3 linked regions of the Saccharomyces cerevisiae S288C genome follow. Changing the gene in region 2 together with the main gene of any one other region gives a genetic interaction. Each region holds a gene or a part of one and is shown on either strand. Other genes may lie near its edges.

The links. Genes that interact genetically often act in the same process or in processes that back each other up.
Region 1: mutations in MBP1 (region 2) and ELM1 together harm fitness more than expected from each alone (negative genetic interaction), as found in Saccharomyces cerevisiae (4 studies listed by BioGRID).
Region 3: mutations in MBP1 (region 2) and HSL1 together harm fitness more than expected from each alone (negative genetic interaction), as found in Saccharomyces cerevisiae (6 studies listed by BioGRID).

The regions. Positions count from the first base shown.
Region 1 is NC_001143.9:343,547-350,852, forward strand, and holds ELM1 (serine/threonine protein kinase ELM1), read right to left. Parts: upstream 5,591-7,306; coding exon 3,668-5,590; downstream 1-3,667. Other genes in the region: LPX2 (Lpx2p), read right to left, coding at 1-2,074; centromeric DNA-binding histone H3-like protein CSE4, read right to left, coding at 2,529-3,218; ANR2 (Anr2p), read left to right, coding at 5,917-7,306. UniProt on the Saccharomyces cerevisiae protein: Important role in G1 events required for bud emergence and septin organization. Coordinates cell growth and cell division at G2/M, essential for efficient cytokinesis and for regulation of SWE1.
Region 2 is NC_001136.10:349,430-355,878, reverse strand, and holds MBP1 (transcription factor MBP1), read right to left. Parts: upstream 3,003-6,449; coding exon 501-3,002; downstream 1-500. Other genes in the region: PSA1 (mannose-1-phosphate guanylyltransferase), read left to right, coding at 1-205; YDL057W (uncharacterized protein), read right to left, coding at 3,459-4,445; USO1 (Uso1p), read right to left, coding at 4,842-6,449. UniProt on the Saccharomyces cerevisiae protein: Binds to MCB elements (Mlu I cell cycle box) found in the promoter of most DNA synthesis genes. Transcriptional activation by MBF has an important role in the transition from G1 to S phase.
Region 3 is NC_001143.9:247,042-257,143, reverse strand, and holds HSL1 (protein kinase HSL1), read right to left. Parts: upstream 8,225-10,102; coding exon 3,668-8,224; downstream 1-3,667. Other genes in the region: MTC2 (Mtc2p), read right to left, coding at 1-374; rRNA-processing protein UTP11, read left to right, coding at 672-1,424; YPF1 (aspartic endopeptidase), read left to right, coding at 1,684-3,447; YKL102C (uncharacterized protein), read left to right, coding at 8,777-9,082; metalloaminopeptidase APE1, read left to right, coding at 9,462-10,102.

The sequences.
Region 1 (7,306 bases), on a different chromosome or scaffold from region 2:
CCGTTTCCTTCTCCTCTTCGAGCTTCTTTTCACACTCCCGCAGCATAATGTTCCTGATTATAATCATTTCATCTACCTGTAATTCTTTCAACATACATTCTTCTGTAGCCATTTCTGCTTCTTCTTTTGCCATTTCTGCAGAAATAACCAAAGGATCATTCACGGTAGCATCAAGAAGGTCCTTCCTTGTTGGAATTTTCTGTTTCTGTACAGCTGGTATAGCTCCACCAGCATCTGCTGTTTCCCCAAAACCATGGATTGCAGTTTTATGTTCAGCAATGGAAGCGACAAGTCTTTCGATTTCTACCTGTATTTTGCTGCGCTCCTCCAAAAGCTCATCATACCCTCTTTCCGAATTTCCCAAATTGTCAAAGTGTGATCTGACGGCATAATAGTGTTCAATGCTCGAATTTTTGAGATCTCTTTCACATGCATCGTTCCAATCATTCAATTCATCATTCTCTCCTGACAGGTTCTTGGACAACCTTTCCTGTAGTTCGTTTCTTAGATTTTCACGATTTTCCCTAGCATTTTCAAGTTCTTTTTCCTTCTGCTGTAATTTGATATTCATCTTTTGTACGAACTGATCATACCGTTGTCCCTCCTCGGCCTTTTTAGCTTCTTTCTCCTGTTGTTGTTTTGAAGCCATCGCTAACAATAATTGCCCGTCGTTTTGCTCTTTTGCACGTTCCATAGAATTCCCATCCTCATATTCCTGATCAAGAACTCTTGACCTTCTCTCAATATCTTTATCAACATCACGTTGTCTGCTGGCTCGTTCATCAATTTCGTTCACCACTGGTGATATCAACTTTTTGGCGACTGCGTTAACCTCTTCTGGAGTCATCCACAAACCACCACCCAAATATATTTTCTTTTTTTCTTCTTGTTTAACAGAATAGTGCTGTAGAGCTATGTTAACAGCAAGCTTATTGTAAGCTTGGTTACCAAATAAAAGCATGTAAGTATCGCGCGAGTCAATATCCTGCAATTTCCTATTCGCAAGCTTTTGAGCTTCATTTAGCACTACCGGAGATGCTACCTGCTTTATGTACAGTTTCTTTTGTGCCTCTCTTGCAGCAAAATCTGGGTCTTCCAATGTCTTCGGGTCAAGATCTTTAACTGCATCAGCTGCACCCTTTGCACACATATATTGTTGATCACTTAGCCTTTGTCTTTCATTACCAGCATGAGACTCTAAGAACTGCTCTGCGGAATGTTCAAGTTTTTCCAAAGTTCCTTTCTTAAAAACTTCTTTGTTAGCTTTTGATACACCACTTTGATCGCTGCTTTGTAATCCATTTTTAAAGTTTACCTTTTGGGGATACAACCTGTCATTAACTCTGCTAATCGCCCTTCTTTCCGCTCCATCCAATACCTTAGATAAATCGAGGGATTTGAAACCTGCAGGGTGCTGTGGATTAACTAAGTTTGCATCAAACTCATTACCAATAGGGGCACCAGAAAACCTCTTTTTTTTAACACTGGAACTGTCGGAGGTGCCCTTCATGGAATTGTCTAAAGAAGGACTGAAAGCCAATGCTTTTTGTGCAGCTAATCTTGTTAAAAAATCACGCCTTCCCTTCAGACCTAAATTGACCGTTATTGGGACGTCTTCAGGCGGGGTCAATGGAATCTTGGAAAAGGTTACTTTGAAAGCCTCACCTCTGGCCTTTTGCTCGATTGCTGTTTCGACACAGTCATCAGGCGAGACTTTCGTTCTCTTACTAGCTAAACGGGCCGCAAGATCAACTGACTCACTCTTGGAGTCTCCTAAACCAAGTGTTTTGTAATTAGCCGGAGTATTCAAAATGCCATACTTCTGTTTCGCACGGAATATCGCCTCTTTACTCAATGGTTGTCCACTCTGCTGGTAAGTAGAATATATAGTTTTCAGTTTGTGAACGCTATTTGAAATTGAGCGAGGTGTTTCTGGAGCAGCGCGATGCATTTCAGAAGAATGTAGCGATTCTTGCAAAGTGGATACTCTAACCGCCTTTCTTTCAGTAATTTGCTCAGGGGACGTCTGGACAGATTCCACATCGGTGGTTTGCAACGCAGATATTAGTGACATTATAGTATTGTACTTGTTCCTAAAGTTTTATTGTCAATCACACTCTAAAACTACTGATTTGAACTCATGTGATCACTTTTGTTTAGACATTGTAGAAAACATGGTGCTTTCTATGAAGATTTTCATGTGTTAAATACCATCTTTGAGTGCATCATTTTCCATCATGTATATCCTGCAGAAGTATCCCTTAATCAGTCTGAAAAAGAAATAACCTCTACCCTTAACCTTTGATTTGGAGCTTCATCGCGAAATATAGGGGACTGCCAAAAATGTCTTACAAAGCCAACAAGTGAACATGAAAAAAAAACTGTCAACAGCGGAGAGCACTTGTCGAACCGAAAGGTATGCTAATATGACCTTATAATAACCTTATTTAAAACATTTAAAGTACCTTAAGTCAATATAAACCCCGAAAAAGGGAAAAATCGGCTCCAGCCCTGAAGCACAAATATCACTAAATAAACTGTCCCCTGATTCTTCTTGCTAGTTGCATGTCTTTCTTCATTATAGTAATTCTTTTTGCATGCAGCGCCAAGAGGTTTGTATGTTCCAATAATCCTACCAGATACGCTTCGCTTGCTTCCTGTAACGCCATAATCGCCATTGACTGCCAACGTAAATCCTGATCTTTAGTTGTAAACTCGTCTGTAACTTCTTTCACTAGCCTTGCAAATGGAATTTTGGAGATTAATAAATCCGTGGAACGTTGGTATTTTCGAATTTCGTACAGAGCTAATTCACTAGGAGTATATTTCTTTTCGACGCGCTTTAAGCTCTGCTTTCTTTGTTTTTCCCTCCTTTTCTGTCTAACATATCTGTCTAAGGCATATGAATGAGTTCGCACTGGTGCAGGTACTTCAGTTTCCATTTCAGCTTCTTCTTCATTTTCTGTCTCGATTTCTAGATTACCTGCTTGGTCTTCGTAGTCTGTTTCGATATCTAGGTCACTTTTTGAGCTTTCATAACGTCTTCTTTCCTCTCTTCTTGGAAACAGGTTCTTTGTCGCTCTTGTTCTCTGCAATAACGATAACGCACGATCGTTAATAGATTGTTGGTCTCCTGCAAGCCTGTTGACGTTACTGAGTGATCTTCCACTCGAATCACTTTGAATAGCAGAACTAACCCATTGTTGTTTACTTGACATGATTATGTTATATTAGTATTCTTTCTATATTCAGTCCTTCTTCTGTTTTTTATAAAGTAAATTCTCAAGATTATCTACTACTGTTTTTAAGAGATGTTTTCTCAATATTTATCGATGAAGTTTTGTTTTTCTTTTGTTTTCAATTTACTTCCGCGATTTCGCGACACAGTGGGATCAAGATAAATCATATCGTTCGATATTCTCGCAATAGAAGACCACTAAACTCTCAATTGATAAATGTTGATGTCGATTTCAATTATCAATGATGGTATATTATGAATATTATCTTTAGTGTTATTAATACAAATGCAAATGTGGGTAATTTGCCGTTTCTATATATATATTTATGTATTTACCATAACCAAGTAAATCAATTAATAATCATATTTCACATCGGCTATACGATTATCAGCTAACCCAATCCGACAGATATCATCCTGTAGTTTCATCTATATTTGACCATTATCTGCAAAGTTCAGATACGTTTTTACATCTTCTACTGTTTCTCGAATGTCACTATCTTCCGAATTTATGTATGCTTTAAAGTTGAGAATATTACTTGAATGAGCAAGCTTTCTAGCCCCTGAATTGTTAACCGTGCGCTTTCCAACAGTCCTATCCATTAGTGGGGAACTCGGTTTGTCCTGTGAGCAATTAATATGGGTTCTGTTCCCGTTCTCTTTAGGGGAACTCTTTAGTCTTATCATGGCTTTGATAGGTGTTGGGATTTTCAATGACGAATGAGAGGATGACTCGCTTCTGTCAGTTTTCATGTCCGAATTCTGCTTATCATTATTCACAGTCAAATTAGGTAAGCTTTCATTTGACCTACAAAAAGTATCTAAGAAATCCGTAACCTGAATGGCTTCCTCCCCTAACGATGAACAATAATCGCTCGAGTCTGGCGAAGATCTAAGGACCGTAGTCGAAAAACATTCTTTATCCGGTTCCTCGTCGATATGTATCGAAGGTGTTACTTTACTAGTTGCAGATACCAATACCTTGTCTTTCCCTTTTCCTGAGGTCTTTTTCTTTCCTTTTTTAGTCAGTAGCCTACCAAAAAATCTTCTTACAGGACCTTCGTTTCTTACGGGGTTCACACTGGACGATGAAATTTGACTGTGATTCCTAGAATCTATGGGCTGGTCACGCGACAAAACCTTTACTAAATCCTGAATACTTATGCGTAAAGTAACGTCTTTCTCCAATAACCTTTTAATGACTAAATCGTTTAAAGTATTACCATTTATTTTGGAACTCAATGATACTTCGATGATTTTGTGGTAGGTTTCGAATTCATTTTCCCCGAAAAATGGCAGCTCGTTGTACAGTAAGCAGTATAGTGTCACTCCCAATGACCAAATATCCAACTTAAAGCCATCCGTCACAAAATCTCTTTTGGAATTGCCCAAATGACATAGCTCTGGTGCAATAAATGCCGGAGTACCAACAATTTTGTTCAATTCCCTCTGAAAACAATCTTCAAAATTAGCATCGCTGAAAGGTAATGATTGGGGAGTGAAAATACAACTTCCAAAATCAGAAAGTTTCGCTACTTTTTCTTCTTCATCCAATAAAATATTGGACGGTTTGATATCACGATGAATACAACCCTGAGAATGCAAATATTCCAACCCTTTTGTCATATCCTCCAGGATTTTTTTGGCAAATGTAGAAACACTACAATTTGAAATCACAATTTTTTTCCATTGCGGTAAAATATCTTCATCATCGTCACGTTTCCACTGTAGTTCACCAAGGCTGCACCAATTAGTGACTATCCAGATAGATTCGCTGAAAGGAGAGTCCAAGCATTCTATTAGTCGCACAATATGAACATTATTTCGAAGTCTTGAAGCCGCAAAAATTTCCCACCTACATTTTTCGATATTCATAAGTCTCATAGCCTCATTACCACTCATATTTGTCGTTATTTTTCCTTTACTCTTCCAAAGCTGGATTTGCCTCATTACTTGATTTACTGAATATTGCTGGGCATTCCAAGGTTTTTTTGGTATAATCTTGACAGCAACAACCTTGCCTAAAGTAGAACTGTACGCTTTTCGTACATAACCAAATTGTCCACTTCCTGCAGAGACTCCTAGCGTATATTGGTTTATAGTTTTCTTATCTTGGTCACTAACAGTTATTTTTTTCACATATGGTCGAATTTCATCCAGGATCGTGTGTATATTTTCTCCTATAATTGTACTATAGGTTGGTTTCTGTTGAGAAAAAGAAGAACCAAATGAAGATGTCTGGCTCGTAGGCGTTATCGGGGGACTATCTAACTCATCCTCTCTTATGCACGATTGCTGGGATAATGGTGCCCATTCCGGAATTAATGTCGGTATAAGCTGTCGAGGTGACATTTCATGCTAAGTAATTATTGTTAACCTGGCGTTCAAAAAATAATATCTATGCGAGTAAGTTTGTAACACCTAAAGAAGTATCATCGGGGGGTTTTCAAGGCCAAATTAGTTCATAGGACTAGAGACTGTTGCATTGTTTATTTGTTGCTACCTCATCATTCACAAATTATACGTTTAAAGTGATGTAAAATCATGCTATATACTAATTTGGCATAACCTCTGTTGAGCGGCATCATTTAATGATTTACTTCTATTTTAATAATTACTTCATTTCGAACAACTTAATAGCTACTTCAAGAAGGATCAAGTAAGTTCCTCGAAGCACTATGAATTCCGGAGGTGAAGAACCAACTATAAAGCCAAATGTATTTAATATTACTCAACTTTTAAACTCAAATGGTGAAAAACCGGGAATTGCTTGCATCTTCTTAAGTAAATTTGACATGAAAAAGGGAAATATCATAATATGGTCTAAAAGTATTAATGGTGCGGCAATTGACTTAAGCAATATTGAATTTAAATCGTTACCAGCCGGTATTCACGAACAAACTGACGATGTTGTCAATTTTGTAGTTCCTAAAGAATTAGATGTCTGTCAAACTGCCAAGACGACAACTTATGATTACGGCATCGCCTATTTCAAACAAAATTCGTTCGATATTATTGAGAATGACAATCGTATTGATAGGAGTAAAGTTCAAATGTTTTCTCTTGGTGTAATTATCGATGTCCAAAATGCCTCATCAGATAGTAAAAAGCACTTTTATAAGGAAATATACCATGCGTATGCTGCCAACAGATACTCAAGCTATCTAGAAAGTTTACTCGGTCAATGGATAAGGCAGCGTGATCTTGATAAGTTTGATATTTTTGAAAAGTTTTTTGACGAGAATAACCAAGGGCACATGGCTGAAAATTCAGTAGAAGTCTTTGAACATTCACCCAAAGAAAGACGGCATTTGGTTGAATATTTGCCATACTGGACAAGGAAGTTAGGGCCTCTCATATTTCCACTTTGGAAAGCAAGTCTCCTTCAGTCAAGGATATTGATACTAGTTCCTCAAGGAGAATCGTTCGAATTGTGCAATTCTTTGGCCTATTGTGTCTTCTTAATATCAATGCTTCCAAAAAACTTGATAGGAAACCATGTAAGCGATGAATATATTAAGCCTATTTTCACGGTATCAACATCAGATATTCCTTTTCTAGAGTCGTTCAAAAAGGGGAACGGTTATGTGGCTACGACCAGCGAGGAAATTTTGTTGTATAAGCCTGAAATTTACGACATAGTAGTCAAACTTACTTCGAGCTCAACTATAGAAGAATCACCAGAAAAAGAAGTGGAAATTCTTACCGCATCTGGTGAACAAAACAAAGCAACTCCTCTTGACTTAGAGGTGTATGAAAAACTTATACTGGGGGAGTTACAAGAGGATGCCTCTACAAATGCGACATGTCGACATCATGAGGTGACAGAACCCATATCATGGCTACAGTTTTTAATTGATGGGTTTTTTCTTTTAACTACTGCAGGCTATCTGGTAGCGCCATATCACCTTGCAAATAATTTCAAGATTCCGAGGCACGTTTCTGGCCCAGAACCCAACAATTCAGAAATACAGATCGCTGAAAATTTAGTTCGCTATTTTCACCGCAGAACATCAAATCTGTACAACGATCTGAAGGATGTCATACAAAAAAGTGAAAATATTGATT
Region 2 (6,449 bases):
CAACTCCACCATCAAGAACCACTCCTTGGTCAAATCTACCATCGTAGGCTGGAACTCTACCGTTGGTCAATGGTGTCGTTTGGAAGGTGTCACTGTCTTGGGTGACGACGTTGAAGTTAAGGACGAAATCTACATCAACGGTGGTAAAGTCTTACCTCATAAGTCTATCTCCGATAATGTTCCAAAGGAAGCTATTATTATGTGAGTTAGGAAAACGAACTGTAATGAATATAATCTATATCACTCATCTGTTTTTGTTAATTTTATTTTAGCCAATATCATTATAAAAAGAGGAAAACATGCACAGAAAAAGCACTGCTTACTGTTATGTCTTAGTTTGTAATTGAAAATGAAAAATAAAAAAAAAAAAGAAAATAAAGAAAAAAAGGTTGATCCTTATGTAACTTTTTATTTACGTAGAAGTTAATAAATATTATCTCATTGTTTTATCTATTTTTCAGTATATGGATACATGTAAAGTTCCTCTATTTATGTATATTTTATGCATGACTATTCGCGTTTGAGATTGTGATGATCTGTTCTGCGCCCTTATTTTTATTATTGTTGGCTATCAATGTCTGTAGTATTACATCCAGCGAACTATCTACTTCTTCAATATTCATTTCCGTACCTTCCCTGATAATCCGTCTATATTTATGAATCTTGGCATTGTCTTCAAATTTCTTCACCAAGGAACTCAATTTGTTTTTCCTTTGTAATTGCAACATCGTTAGTTCTTGAGCCAATTCCAACCTTTCCAGCGTATTATTATCTTTCTCAACTGTGTTATTGGTGGTAGCCTGAGTTTCATCTTCTATTAATTTGTTCAATAAAACCGTTTGCCTGTATTCCAGCTTTTGTTTTATCAACCGTTTGTATCGTATGAGCCTTTTTCTCAATTTCTTAGTATTTTGTTCTTGTAGACGAGATAAAATTTCGAAGTCATCATTAGTCTGAGCTTCGCCGTTTTCATCTTTACTGCTCTCTTTCAATACCTCTAAAGTTTTTAGGCTTACCTGTATTTTCGTCTTAGAAATGCTTTTTAAAGTTTTTTGCAAACTTTTTATTTCGTTGTCATGCTGTTCATGAAGATCGTTGTATATGCTAGCCATTTGCTTCATAGAATTCACTACATTTGGAATATTTCTTGATATATTGGTGGCAATTTGAGATGGATAGGTTATGTAATCCGAAGGAGAAACAGGCGACATGATTACCATTGAATTAACATCATTTTTCGTTTCAATGTTGTTTGTATTAACGTGGATATTCAAGTCCGTGTTTGAAGAATTGACATGTTGATTTGTACCATTTTGTATCATCATTTGCTCATATTGTTGATTCATTATTTCATTGGCGGTTAATCCTTCCTTATTGGAAATAGTAGTTAATGCACCCATTTTGACCAGTGTATTAAAAAAAACAACATCTCCATTTTTAGAAGCAATATGAAGTGCGGTATCGCCATTTTTGTCTTGTGTGTTTAAAAGTAATTCAATTCTATACTGTGGGGAAAAATCCTTGATCTTAGATAGCACAACATCAAGATAATAAACTGCAGAAGGTGTTGTTGATTTTCGTTTCACAATATGGTGAATTACTGTTTGTGATTGCGAATCGATATCAAATACGGTCTCGTGCAGTAGCTGGAAAATTCTAGGGAAAGTTCTTCTAGTGTATGAATTGTGGAATAAGGAACTTCTCATCAATGGAGTTTGGCCTTGAGAATTTGTCGATCTGATACTTGTTCCGGCTTCGTACAACGCCTCAGCAATTGGTAAATTACCCATAGAACAAGCCCAATGGAAGGCAGTATGTAATTCTGGATCGATTGGAGCATCTATATAGGGAGCGCTGTGTGGAGGTGGGTGCAATAACACTTGTGGTAGGGACTTATTTGACTTCATTTCATTGGAAATAAAATAATCAACCAATTTTGAAAGGTATTTGTTAACTTTATCATTAATATCCGATGTTTGAGGCCTTGAAGTTACAGGATAACGCGGGATCATGGAAATAATAGGAGATGTTCCACCACCGGGAAATCGCTCTTCAAATGGATTACTATCGGCAAAATCGCCCGGTGACGTAGGTAATGAAGGAGAGGAAGATACGGACGTGGCCATTGATTCTGTTTGCTGTGTCTGTATCAAGGAAGATTGTTGTTGGGGTACAAATCCAGTATTTTGATTAAAAACTTGTTGTAATTGTTGTGAAGGTTCCACATCGCTTGATAAGCCGTCCTCAAGATCAATTTCTTTGAACTGTGCAGAATTATTTTGTTGCGGCTGCTGCTGTCGAGAATCGTGCCTTTCTTCTTCCAGAATACCCAATGTAGGGGATTGTGGTCCCATGGTGGATCTAATAGAGGGAAGTTGCGTTGTCGATATTGAAGAATTCGGTATCGCCGGTCTAGGAAATCCCATATCACTTTGAGAACGTTGTAAATTGACACCTAACTTCCGCCTACTTCCCCTCGTAGATCCTACCGGTCTACCTCTTTTCCTTGGTGCAGCCGTGGGATTTCCCAATATTTTGCTGCTTTGAAATTGATTTTCCTCGGCTTTCTTGTTGTTTCTTTTTGTTTCCATAATTGCGGAAGTACTTGCACTTCTAATAGCCTTTTTCCTATCCACCTTCGAGGCATGGTGATGTTTTGGAGCAGGAGGTGGAGAAGCAGACCCATCTGTTTGCGTAAAGTCGAACAACGGTTTCAGCTGATCGTAGACACTAAATTTTTCTGCCAGTTGTTTCGCTATGTTCAGTGGGACCCATGTACCCTGATATTTACCAAATCCACCCTGAACTTTTTCATGAGTTTCCTTAAGTACTTCCTTCTCTAGAATCCTTGTTCTTTTAGCCTTGGCAAAATTGGCGGCCTTTAAAATATGTGTAGCATTGACCCAATCATCCTTTTTCCTTTTCATGATAGATCCTGTAGAATGAATGAATTCATAAACATCAACCCCCGAATATCTCGCTGAGTATATTTGGTTAGACATGCTTGTGTTTCTGGGATTTACGTTGTGTCTCGGAATGTTAAGCACGATTTTGCAGACCAATCGCACTTGATATGATGTTTAGTTATATGAATTACAATGGGCTTTATTTTCCGATGGCTCAATCTTGTGCAAGTTATGTTGATTTTGTTTTCTTTTTTTCATTTTTTCATCTGTTGATTATACTAATCGGATGGAAAAACAAAGCAGTAGTAATTTAACAATCTAACAATCTCAAGCGCAAGAGAAAAAAGGAACGTAAATGAATTATCTCTAACGGCTAATGGATGCTGAACATGTGGAATACCAGTTTAATCACGATCAGAAATATCGTCTCACAGCGTAGTATTGCCTCTATTTGATCTTAAACTGCAATGCCGACGACTTTATGCGGGTGATCCCGCAAAGTGACCAAACTCAGCACAAGACTTATCTTAGATTAATATGTAGTTGTATGGTCTATGTATCTTGCAGGTATTCCATAATTAGATCAACTACTAGTGGTGAGTAGTTGACTCTACCCCTCCTTATCGGTAAGCCTAGCGCGTTGGGATCACCTTCAATGCCATAATAATTGTGGTCCGCATTTTCAATAAGTTTCAATGAATGTCTGCCCTCGAAAAGCCTTGCATAATTTGAGGCTGCGCTAATTGGCACTATGTGATCACACATGCCATAGCAGGACATTACTGAACAAGTTTGTGGTATCGTGGCAAATTCCGGAACGCAAACGCCAGCGATACTATAAGTCTCACTTAATGGTATCCAAAAGTCTTTGTATTCGCCATTTCGTGGACCATTCGCCCAAAACCCACCTTCTGCTTGCCAATGCGGGTGCAGTCGTGTGCAGCGTTCAATAAGTCCTCTCCCATCATATCTTCCAGCGCAATTGATCAGGTGAGACGGTAATGGAGATTCAGCTGCATGTAATTTTAGACAGAATTTGAACATGGCAAGAGATCCTCTAGAATGTGCCACAACCACGTCCAGTGATATTGTACTAGTTTTGTACAATTGCACCCTAAGAGACCTGTCAGATACTGTTTGGTATACTGTACTCAAATCTTCAAGATCCTGAGCGAGCGTCCTACCAAGGCCAGGGTCGCAGTTATCTGAGGAATCACCTTGGCCCCTAAAATCTATTCTTAGTACCCAATATCCGAATTCGGCCAGCCTTTTTGCTAGTAAAGTTTGATAAATAGCGTTCTTGTGAGATTGACTTCCGTGTAGTAACAATGCTAGTTTATTTTCCTTGCACAGTAATTTACCATCTTCTTTATTTGCAGTTGATGAATTTCTCTTTTCTGGGTATGAAACTATAGCCGCAATTTGATAAGATAAGCCGTTCATTGTACTTGTAATATATACGAATTTTTCATTTGCTTCCAATTTGATATAGGAGGGGGGAGCACTTTGTATTTGCACAGTGACATGTTTTTTTTCCATTTCGACTTGGTTATTTGACAAATATTCCCTTTTCTGATCTTTTTAGTACTTTCATCACTCCTGTAGATCTGCATCGGCTTTTCGCTATTTTTCCTTGGCTTATTATAATGCGTAAGCGTTTCTCGACAGAGATATTGCGACGCTGAGAAAAAAAAAGGAAGTTCTATGCAAGGGACATTAATGATATATTAGACAATTGTCTACGTGAGCTCACATATTGTTTGCACAAACTATACTTTAATTAGAAGGCGTGAAGTAATGTTAGATGTTATAGAAAATATAACATTTAGTGTCAGTAAAATGTATATATGCATATATAATTACAAAAAAGTAGTGCTGCCCACATAATCAAACAGATCGTTCAAGCGATTTGTTTATGCACATATTTTAACTCTATCATGCCACTTGCCCTTCTTCCTCGTCTTCTTCATCATCTTCTTCATCATCCTCTTCATCCGAACTAATTTCAACGCCCAAATCCTTCAGCTTTGAGCGATATTTGGCGTTTTTCTCATCTAGGTCAGTAACCAAGAGCATCAAGTCATCAATTTCCGAACGATCTTCGTTAGCTTCCTTCAACTTAGAGTTCTCTGCCTTCAAGTTATCCAGTTCTTTAGCCAACTTTTCAATTTCTTGTCTCTGAGAATCGGTTGTCTTTTTAACAGTATCTTCATCCCTTTTCCATGCTTGCTCTTTATTCACCAAATCGTTGTATTTAGTTTCAAGCAACATGGCTTTTTCATCAAGTTGAGACTTTTCGACTTGAAACTTCCTGACTTCGGCCCTACGTTCTTCCTCGGATTTTTGTGCCTTCTGTTGGGTGCTATCTAATTCCTGTTCTAATTCCTTGAGGCGCGAAGTTAGTAATTCTTTTTCTTCTTGATTACTTTTTATTTCGGCTTGCTTGTCTTTGAGTTCACGTTCTATATCTTCTAATTTAGATTTCAAAACTGTATTTTCTTCTGCGTTGATCCTTATTTTTTCTTGTGCGTTATTTAGCTCTTGTTTTACGGTTTCTAGTTCAGAGCCAGATTTTGCTTCGATCCTCAGTTTACTTTTCAGTTCTTCAATATCCTTTTCAGATTCGTTGATTCGGGATATCAAATCTGACTTCTCATGTTGCAAGTTTTTAATATCCTCCTCAGCACTTTTTTTCGACTGTTCTAATTTTTCATCTGATTTCCTTATGGTTTCCATTGAGGATTTCAACTCCGTTTCATTGCTCTCAATCGTACTCTCTAGCTTTTTCATCATTTCTTTAGACTTTTCAAGCTCTGCTTTCTCTTTTGAAGATTCTTCCTCAAGTTTTTTCAGCCCTTCTTCAACTTTAGCTTTGGATTCTTGTGCAGCCCGGAGTTGTTCTTTCAAGCTCTCCAGGTCTCGTTTATTATCTCGCTCTATTGATAGAAGCTTTTCGTCATTTCTAGTTATTTTGTCTTTATATGAAAGAATTTCATCTTGTAAGCTTTTTATTGTGTTTTGTTTCTCTTCTAAAAGCTCATCATTGCTTAAACTAACCTTCTCTAGTTCACTCCTCGTATTATCGATCTCTTTGGCTTTTAATTCGTTTTCATTTTGTAGCCTAATTAATTCATCTTCCAAAGTATTGATCTTTTCAGAATATTCTTGTGTAATTGTTGAAGATCCTTCATTAAGTAGCTTTCTTTCCTTTTCGAAGGCCTGATTTTTGATTTGTATTTCATTTTTCAATTTTTCCAATTGCTCCTCTGCATTTTTTCTTTCCTCAGAAGATGTCTTCTTCAATCTAGACAACTCAGATTCTGATTTCTCCTTGGCCTTAGATAAATTAGTGATCTTTTCCAATTGAATTTTTAGTTCAGTCGTTTTAGCATCTAGTTCTTCTTTTATCTTCTCCGATTCCTTCTGTAGCTCCAAATATTTAGAGTTCTTATCTTCTGAGGCCTTGAGTTTGTCTTCCAATTCACTAACTTCCTTTTCTTTAAAGTTACATTCGTCTTGTAATTCTTTAATTTTTACCGTTTC
Region 3 (10,102 bases), on a different chromosome or scaffold from region 2:
CCTATAAATATACGTGTTGACTGTGCCTTCTCAATCGCCACTGTGCAATCTCTCATAATTTTTACTAATTTCGCTTGGTCTGGCTGTAAAAGAGAATTTATGTCTGGAATGATAACAATCTCAAATTCCTTAACATGTGTAGTTGCTAACGAGTCCAAGCTTGCAGTTGTTGAGTTCAGAACCGTGACCTTTATTCCTCCGCCCGGATAAGCGTCATTGATTGCCCTCTTCAGTTGTATATCACAAGTACTTGGCATCGAAGAGGCTAATTTTTCCTTTGAGACGCTGTCTCTATACATACATAGAAAGCTCTTTTTAGCTGTAACAGAAAACTTCAAACATGTCTGAAAATCCGGCAGATTATGATCGCCCATTCCTATTTTTGCCACATCCAATCAATAATTTTGCAGCTCCGATTTTGCAGGTGTTGCTGTTCAATGGAAGTAATCGTTGTTATAAAGGAGCACATCACCAAGTCCTCTAAGGCTTAAAGGTTTGTCGTTATGCACGTAAAAGATGAAATTTTTTTATGGCTAGATGAGCTCATCGCGATTTGAAGAAAAAGAGTAAAGAAAACAATGCTAAGAAACTACAATAAGAGCAAGTTGCATATCATCGAATAATACTAGTGGGGTTTTCTAGTTCGTTACAGCCAACAACAGACAAAAGATATGGCTAAACTTGTACATGATGTTCAGAAAAAGCAGCATAGAGAACGTTCTCAGCTAACTAGCCGTTCCAGATATGGGTTTTTAGAAAAGCATAAAGACTATGTGAAACGTGCTCAAGACTTCCACAGGAAGCAGTCCACTTTGAAAGTCCTCAGAGAAAAAGCAAAAGAGAGAAATCCAGATGAATACTACCATGCTATGCATTCAAGGAAGACAGATGCAAAAGGACTGCTGATCAGCTCACGTCACGGTGACGAAGAAGACGAATCGCTTTCCATGGATCAAGTTAAATTACTCAAAACGCAAGATAGTAATTATGTGAGGACGCTGAGGCAAATAGAGCTGAAAAAGCTGGAGAAAGGAGCGAAACAGTTGATGTTCAAAAGCAGTGGGAATCATACAATATTCGTCGATTCCCGAGAGAAGATGAACGAATTCACCCCAGAGAAGTTTTTCAATACCACCTCCGAGATGGTGAATAGATCTGAAAATAGATTAACTAAGGACCAATTAGCCCAAGATATTTCAAACAATAGGAACGCTTCATCAATAATGCCAAAGGAATCATTAGACAAAAAGAAATTGAAAAAGTTCAAGCAAGTCAAGCAGCACTTACAGAGGGAAACTCAATTGAAACAGGTCCAACAAAGAATGGATGCTCAAAGAGAATTGTTGAAGAAGGGTTCCAAGAAAAAAATCGTAGACTCTTCAGGAAAAATTTCATTTAAATGGAAGAAACAACGGAAACGTTAGATTTTTACCATCTATATAGTATATATAAGTGAATCAGGCAGACGTTCCGTAATCCTTCTTTTCATGTTTTATAGGATTACGTTTATAAAAAGTATTCACTTTTCTTAAGTGTCTTTTGCGCCATCAAAAAAAAAAGGATTTTGAGGCACCGGAAAAAAAAGAACCCCTCTCCGAATGGGAGTATTTAGGACAAGATTTGTAAAGTGCTCCCTTTTTGAGCAATACTACAGATCTATAATGGGGAACAAACTCATACACGATGGACAAGTATTTGAATTCATTTGTTGACCACCTTTCAGAGTGGTCATCTCGTGCCTTTAGGAACAATTCATCAAGCGCTAACCAAAGTGCGTCGAACAAGGAATTAGAACAAGTTTTTGAACAGATCAATGCTATAGTTGAAAACCACAATAACAAATTAACCACTGCCTTTGATAAGATATCATATCGCGTTGCTCACAAGATTACACACTTGGTGGAAAGCCATTCTTTAGTATTCAACTACGCCACTTTAGTTCTCATCGCAAGTGCTTTGGTCGTTATTGGCTCATTTACGTCTATTTCTTCTATTCCATTTACAGCTCTACCTCCTACGAGAGAACACTCATTGTTTGATCCTACAGATTTTGATGTGGACCACGACTGTCATGTTATCTACCGCGAGAATGACGAAGATAAAAAGAAAAAGAAGAAAAGCAAGAGGTTTTTCGATATGATGGATGAAAAACATGCGATTATACTGCCCTTAACTAGTGGCTGTACTTTACTCGCTCTCTATTTTGTGATCAAGAAACTACACCTAAACTGGCTAAAATATGTGGTGAAAATTTTGAATTTTAATATAACACTGCTAAATATCCCAGCTGGCACATTTGTCTACTCCTACTTTCTCAACTCACTTTTCAGAAACCTATCACATTTAGCTTCTTGGAATCCCCTGGTTGTTTTACCAAGGTATCGTGTAACAATAGCTGATGATAACGAAGACCTGAACAAGATAGGCGGGTTTGTTACCAATTTGAATTACAAAGATGGATTGACCAACTCAGTTGTTCACAAGAAAACATTGGATGAGATTGAAAAAGATCATTGGATGAAGCATTTTTACAGAAGAGAATTAGTTGAACCGAAGGATATTAAATCGAAGAGGCAGATCAGCAACATGTATTTGAATAGCGCATTAATTGTTTCGTTCGTTCTGTCCATCGTTTCTACCGTATATTTCTATTTATCACCCAATGATTGGTTAATATCCAATGCTGTCAGTATGAATATGGCTATTTGGTCCATTGCTCAATTAAAATTGAAGAATTTAAAATCAGGGGCCCTAATCCTAATTGCTCTATTTTTTTACGACATTTGCTTTGTCTTTGGTACCGATGTAATGGTTACAGTAGCTACTAACCTTGATATTCCCGTAAAACTAAGCTTACCAGTCAAGTTTAATACAGCTCAAAACAACTTCAATTTTTCAATACTTGGTCTGGGTGATATTGCCTTGCCTGGTATGTTTATTGCGATGTGCTACAAATATGACATCTGGAAGTGGCACCTTGATCATGATGACACTGAATTCCACTTTTTGAACTGGTCATACGTTGGAAAATATTTTATTACTGCTATGGTTAGTTACGTTGCTTCTTTGGTATCTGCCATGGTCTCCTTGTCCATTTTCAATACTGCTCAACCGGCTTTATTATACATTGTTCCTTCCTTGTTGATTAGTACTATTTTGGTAGCTTGCTGGAACAAGGATTTTAAGCAGTTTTGGAATTTTCAGTATGATACGATTGAAGTGGATAAAAGTTTAAAAAAAGCGATAGAAAAAAAGGAGAACTCTATAACTTATTCGACCTTCATCCTATCAGAATACTATAATGATGCCGACAAGTATGCCTTGCTTGGTGATGATGTAAACGAAAATTTTGACGATGATGAAGAATTCGTGCAAGAGGAAGATCTCAGTGACAGCTCTGAGGAAGAGCTTTCTGAAGAAGATCTCTTGGATGACGAATCTTCTTGAGCTCCAAAAGAAACGACAGCTCTTTTTACCCCTCCAGGGTTGTATTTATCTTCTAATCTAGGACAATGTTTGTAAAACCCTCTTTCTTTCCTTCGTGTCTCATGTCTCTCCATTTATTAATGTTCTTTTAAACTATGTTTTCTCACGCCTGTCCATTCGGTTCTCGTACGTTAAATTTTTCAAATTATTGTTGTATAATTATATAACATCTATATAGAATTTATGAACGTCCGGCATTTCGAATTACTCTCTCCACATCATCATTAAACTTTTCAAAGGCTTTATTGGAACTTGTGTTTGAATGTTTGCTTCTTTTTTTTACAGTAATTACCGTAGATGCATTGGGTGTGCTAGTAATCTTGATTTTGAATTTGAAGTTGCCTTTTACAAATTTACAATCGTATTCCACCACCTTTCTCCCAAATTTGTGATCTAGGTTCTTTAATTGATAGTCGATACTATTCTTGTTGAATTCATTTAATGTTAGCATATGCGCATCATCAAATGATATATTCGTTACATGATTCTTGGATGCCTTAGTAGCATTATTATGAGAAGAAAAGTTTTGAAATAGTTTGACGAACCAATTCTTTTTATCACTGGAAGGCGCTTCTTCAACTTCAACATTTTGGACACTTTTTAGAATTGGCTTTTTTGTATGGGTTTGTGTATTTGATTCCATAGCGGTATCCTTCGTAACTTTAATCGTTGAGGGTTTTGGTATTTTAGAGTAGTTATTTTCTGTATTATTTGCATTTTCCTTTTTTTCAACCACCGGCAACACAAGTTGAGAAGATTCCTCGGATATTTTATTGTCTAGCTTGGTATGCTCTTCTTTAATTTTTCCCCCACCTACTTTTTTAGATTCTTCCTCCTCCTCATCGAAAAGCATTGTCACTCGTTGTTTTGGATTAACGCTTTCCTCAGATGGTCTTCGCTTTGAATAGCTCATACTTGATTCAAGAATATCAGCTTGAGAAGTATGCCCATCTTGATCTTCCTCCAAATCTTTGAACATTGACTGTAAACTTTGAGAAATGCCTAATGCATTACTATCACGACTACCACGCGTGGAAGAAAACCTCTTTTGCATATGTGTATTAGAAGGATTTTCTGGTGACAATCTAAGTTTAGAAAGTATCTCTTCAGTAGTCTCTCTGGGTATACCAGAACTGTTATTATTCCAATAAAGACTTACTCTAACATTTGTCGCGGGAGTAAGAACGTTTGTTGTCGCCATAGTGTCAATAGATACCGCTTTCCTATGCACACTTGCTCGTGAATCGCTTTCTGAAGAAGATGTATTTAATGAACCCTCATCGGAGGGCGCATCTTCAAAAATATTAATGGCTTTTTCATCATATGTGTTTGGTATAGTATAATCTGGAATATAATTAGTATCGCTATTATCTGGTTCTTTTTCCTTCGAGATATAGGCTGCCGATTTGATTACTTTTTCTTTTGTAAAAGAAGATGCTTTGGGCGAAGTATTGATTTTATTATTGTCCGTGTCGTTGTTCATCAGTTGAATCGCCTGAGCGGTAAAGGTGTTTGTTGGTATTTCCATCGCAAATGTCATATCAGAGATTCCATCCAGATCATTACTCAAATAGGAGCCAGGTGAGCCCTGATTACGTTTAACGGATAAATTGGCGTTCAAATTAGACCGTGGAGTTAGAGATATTTTGGCAGATTGTTTTCGCAAAGGGTGTGACATGGCTACACTTCTAGATTGGTTCTGTGGCACACTTAGATGCTTATCATCACCGTCATCAGCGAGTATCTGGCTAAGATTTTTGAACGTCATAGATGTGTTCAAAAAACTAGAAGGTAAAGACAGCATTGGTTTTTGAATTGTACTAGATTCTGCTAAAACACTGGGATCTCTCGAAGATGTTGCTACTGTTGTTAAAGGTACATATGAACTTTCGATTGAAACATCTGAGGCTTTGACTGGTTTTTCGTCTTCCACATGTTCACTCATGAACAAGGAACCTCTCTCATGGGTCCAGTGAGAGGCTGGCTCCTTTTTGAATTTCAGTCCCTGCAATAGTGATTCCACTTTTGAATTCACTGGCTGGGAGATGTTACGGCGGGGATCTAGAGATAAGGACGGTTTACCTTGATCATTAGGCAAAGAATTTACACGAAGTTCTTGGTGCTGAATAGGTTTGAGTGGTGACGGGCGGTCATTTTTTTTTTGAAGTTGTTCTCTTTGAATCTTTTTTTCTATCCTCATACCTTCCTGTTTATTCATTTTATTGAATGAGTTCGTGATATCTGAAAGGGCCGCTCTCTTTGGCTTCTGTTCTTCCAAATAACTTGAGCTTAACGTGTTTTCTTTTTCAAAGATAGGAAATGAAGAGAGCCCTGACATATTCTCAGATGGTTTATATGACATATTGAATTGATTTTTCTCAATTTTGGTTGGATACTCCGGGCCCTCATTTTCCTTATTTGTAGACACCCCAGAGATCGTAAAAGTGTCTGCCGAAGATTTTGTATCGTTTTGCCTCTGTCTTTGGGTGTCGCGTTCTTTTTCATTGTCCTCTTCCTCTTCGAGTATCCTATCTAAGGCGTTTCCAAATAAGATCTGATCGCATAAGATCTCAAAATCAGAGTCTGATTCCAACGAATGGGGTTCTGATTTATTCACATTTTCGGATGCTGGTTTCTTACTAGGGAGAGGATCGTCAAAGACTAATAAATCATTCAGGTTCAAGGAACGTTTTGAAATTGACTGTAATGAGTATAAGGATCTCTTTGAAGCCGAGTTTTGTAGTGTTCTTCTAGCGGCAACAGTTGCAGCTATATTCTTCCTCGAAAGTGATTTATGTATTGATTTAGTAGATGGGGAGGCGTGGATTGCCCTTCTTGACAATGAATATCTTGAAGGCGACTTCGGCAGTTGAGGTAGAGGCATCTCATTATCATGCACAGTTTCTCTAGAAGTTGAAGCGGACAATGATAATCTGGAATTCGATAAGCGTAGCGATCTTCTCGAACGTGATGAAATAGAGGTGTATGAGTTACGGAAAATCCTTGATGAAGAAGCATTGAATATGGGAATAGCGGGTGGTAATGTTACAGCTTCTGCTTCAGCCTTATCACTTTCAGGTTGACTGAGCGTATTGATACTAAATTGCGATTTTTGTGCCAATACAGGGGCATTAATTTCTGTATTAACCCCTGTAATTGCGTTGTTCTGATTCACTGTTGAAGTATCTTCTGAATGAATTTCTAGAGAATGTAAAGTCTTCACATCATTGTTCTCGCTCCTTAGGCCTGTATTATTGGCAGTTTTGGATGCGTATTCAATCCTAGGTTCATTTACGCTACTTTCTGTTGCTGATTTCTTGTTTTCGCTTGACGAGGACAATGATATTGAGTGACGTTGTTTATATTGTAATAACAGTGAGTAGAATAGTTTTTCCTCCGACATTGGCTTTTGAAGCAACTTGGCAGTGATTAGTTCACGAGAAACTCCATGCCACAAAATTTGCAAACTCCTCAAGATGGATTCATCAATTTCCCCTTTTGAATGTAAAGTTACAATAGAGGGCGAGACATTATTTAGCAAATGCAAATCCGAGTTAGATTTTCCCCTCGCCATGTTATCCTTTCTCATTTTCCTCAGCACTTTATTAACTGGGAGATCATCATATTTTTTGATCAGAGGATGCTTCAATATCTCTTGAGTGGTAATTCTTTTTTCTGGATCAATTACCAATATTTTTGATATCAAATCACGAGCCTCAGAAGATAAATTTGAGGGCATTTGATATTTGCCCGATTGAACTTTCAACAACAGCTTTTTGATGTTGTCATCATTAAATGGTAAATGACCGGTGAGTAATGCAAATAAAACGATACCGCAGGACCAGACATCGCTAGGACCGCCATGATATGGTCTACCCATAACAATTTCAGGAGACGCATAGTGTGGAGAGCCACATGAAGTTTTTAAAAGTTTATTAGGAAGCTCTAATGCTGCCATGCCGAAATCAGCAATTTTGATTCTCCTATTCTTTTTATCTAATAATAAATTTTCAGGCTTCAGATCACGATGGCATATATTAAAAGAATGACAATAGGAAACACCTTCAACTATCTGCTTGAAGTAATGGATAGCCTCCCTTTCAGGTAGCTTTCCCTTCGAGACCAGATAATCGAATAATTCGCCACCATCAACATATTCCAAAACTAGGTACAGCTCTGATTTGTTCTCCCAAACTTCAAACAATGCCATAACGTTTGTGTGAGATATCAATTTCATGATTACTATTTCTCTCTCTATGCCATATGGGTTCGTTTGAGAATGGTTACTATGTTCTCTAGATGCTATTGATGGAGAAGATACATTGGAAGTGACCATGGAAGAAGAGTAAGAATTAGGAACAGTTCCATTATTAGAACAATGAACAAAGGCTTTCTTCTTGGGGACAATTTTAATGGCAGCTAATTGTCCTGTTTCCATATTTTTAGCCAAGCGAACCCTACCAGAAGATCCCTTCCCCAATGTTTTGCCAAGTTTCCAAGGACCCACCGTGTCTCTGGATTTTCTCTTTGATGATTTTGTAGCAACACTTACGGTAGAGTCGGGCTGAGATAATCTTTTGGTAGCGTCGTTCACAGATTGTACAACACGCTCCAAATGCCCCGACGCCCTTTTTGGATTCGAATTTACTTTGGCCATGGCCCTTTTAGCTGCCTTCTTGGCCAATGAAGACGGGCGACCTTTGGGTACGTGGCTCGTTTTTGAAACGTGACCAGTCATGTCGTGTGGTAAAAATAAAAAATATTAATAACAAATAATAAAGGAGTGAATATAGTTGGTTGTTGATTTATTTATCAGTATTTTTTGTCCCGCAAATCTATGTCGTTCTTTTTACCTTGTCTTTCTTGTAATTTTATTATTTATCTCTTTTCGCGATTAGTAGCAAGTAGTATGATGGATATCCAACCTATTTGATGATCTATTTGAGTTCAACTCTCTGTTTTAATGGCCTCTCGCTGTCCAATTTACGTCCTTGCAGTCGGATAACTAGCGAACTTACGATCCAAAGGGAGTTTTAAGAAGAAACAGGTTTCGAGCAAAAGGTAACTTGCTTATATTAAGAACGCCAATAAGAGTGGCCACTATAATGCTGCTCCCAGCCGGTACAAGACGGTACGGTACGTGATGGAGATTAGTTTTCACTATTTAGCCCAAACAACCCAACGCGAAAATGACCACGCGAAAAGAAAAATTAGTAAAAATATTTCACAACGCGAAAAATAAGGACGAAGGCAACACATTCCACCTTCCCTGTTATTGTAAAACGCACAAATGTGTGCTTTATTCGCTGAGGTTTCATCGACAGCTGCAGCCAGTTGTTCATTCGGTGTTCTCTTGTGCAGCGGCTCAAATTGTGGCAGGCTTGTAGGCTCCGAACGCCGTAAGGTACTTTATGTTTTTAATGTCAACGTTTGCAAGAAAATGTCATCCTATTACTTTCTGAGGCATGATAACATTGTAATCCCTTATCTCTTGCGCTTGTTGGTATCAGATAAAGAAGCATCAAACAAGAACCCACTCCTTCCTTTTCTCATGGATAAAGAGAGGTCGCACCATTTCGTGAGGAATATGAATTAGTCAGCTTCTACTTTAGGGTATAGGTTGCAAACTTCCGTTTTTCTCAAGGTTTAATCAGAAGCATAATAGGTCTTCGGATGATTTCTTGTCTAATTCAAAAAAAAAATAATCTGGGATAGGTTTTTCGGGAAAAACAACTAGGGGTGATGCTGTTTTGCACCTCTATTACTGTAAGATAGGCTATGCAAGCAAACGACAGTAAGAAAGAATAGGGTTAAGTGAAATAGTTGACACACCCCTTAATCGTTCCATTAGATAATAAAAATTCATTTATAAGCAGTTGACTTCACAGAACAAGACATACACTGTATAGAGCCTGATCAGTAATCTTAGTGCAATTGTAGAAACCTGCACAACCAACAAAATTAAGAAAAAAAGAATGGAGGAACAACGTGAAATACTGGAACAATTGAAGAAAACTCTGCAGATGCTAACTGTAGAGCCATCTAAAAATAACCAAATCGCCAACGAAGAAAAGGAAAAGAAAGAAAATGAAAATTCGTGGTGCATCCTCGAGCACAATTATGAGGATATTGCACAGGAATTCATTGATTTCATTTACAAGAACCCTACCACTTACCATGTAGTATCATTTTTCGCGGAGCTGTTAGATAAGCATAACTTCAAATACTTGAGCGAGAAATCCAATTGGCAGGACTCCATTGGCGAAGATGGTGGGAAATTCTACACTATAAGAAATGGAACTAACCTATCTGCCTTTATCCTGGGCAAAAACTGGAGAGCCGAAAAGGGTGTCGGTGTCATTGGATCTCATGTGGACGCTTTGACGGTCAAATTGAAGCCCGTCTCCTTTAAAGACACAGCGGAAGGTTACGGAAGAATTGCTGTTGCTCCCTATGGAGGTACACTGAATGAATTGTGGCTAGACAGAGACCTAGGTATTGGTGGTCGCCTTCTTTACAAGAAGAAGGGCACTAACGAAATTAAAAGCGCCTTGGTTGATTCTACACCCCTACCTGTTTGTCGAATTCCTTCCTTGGCTCCCCATTTCGGTAAACC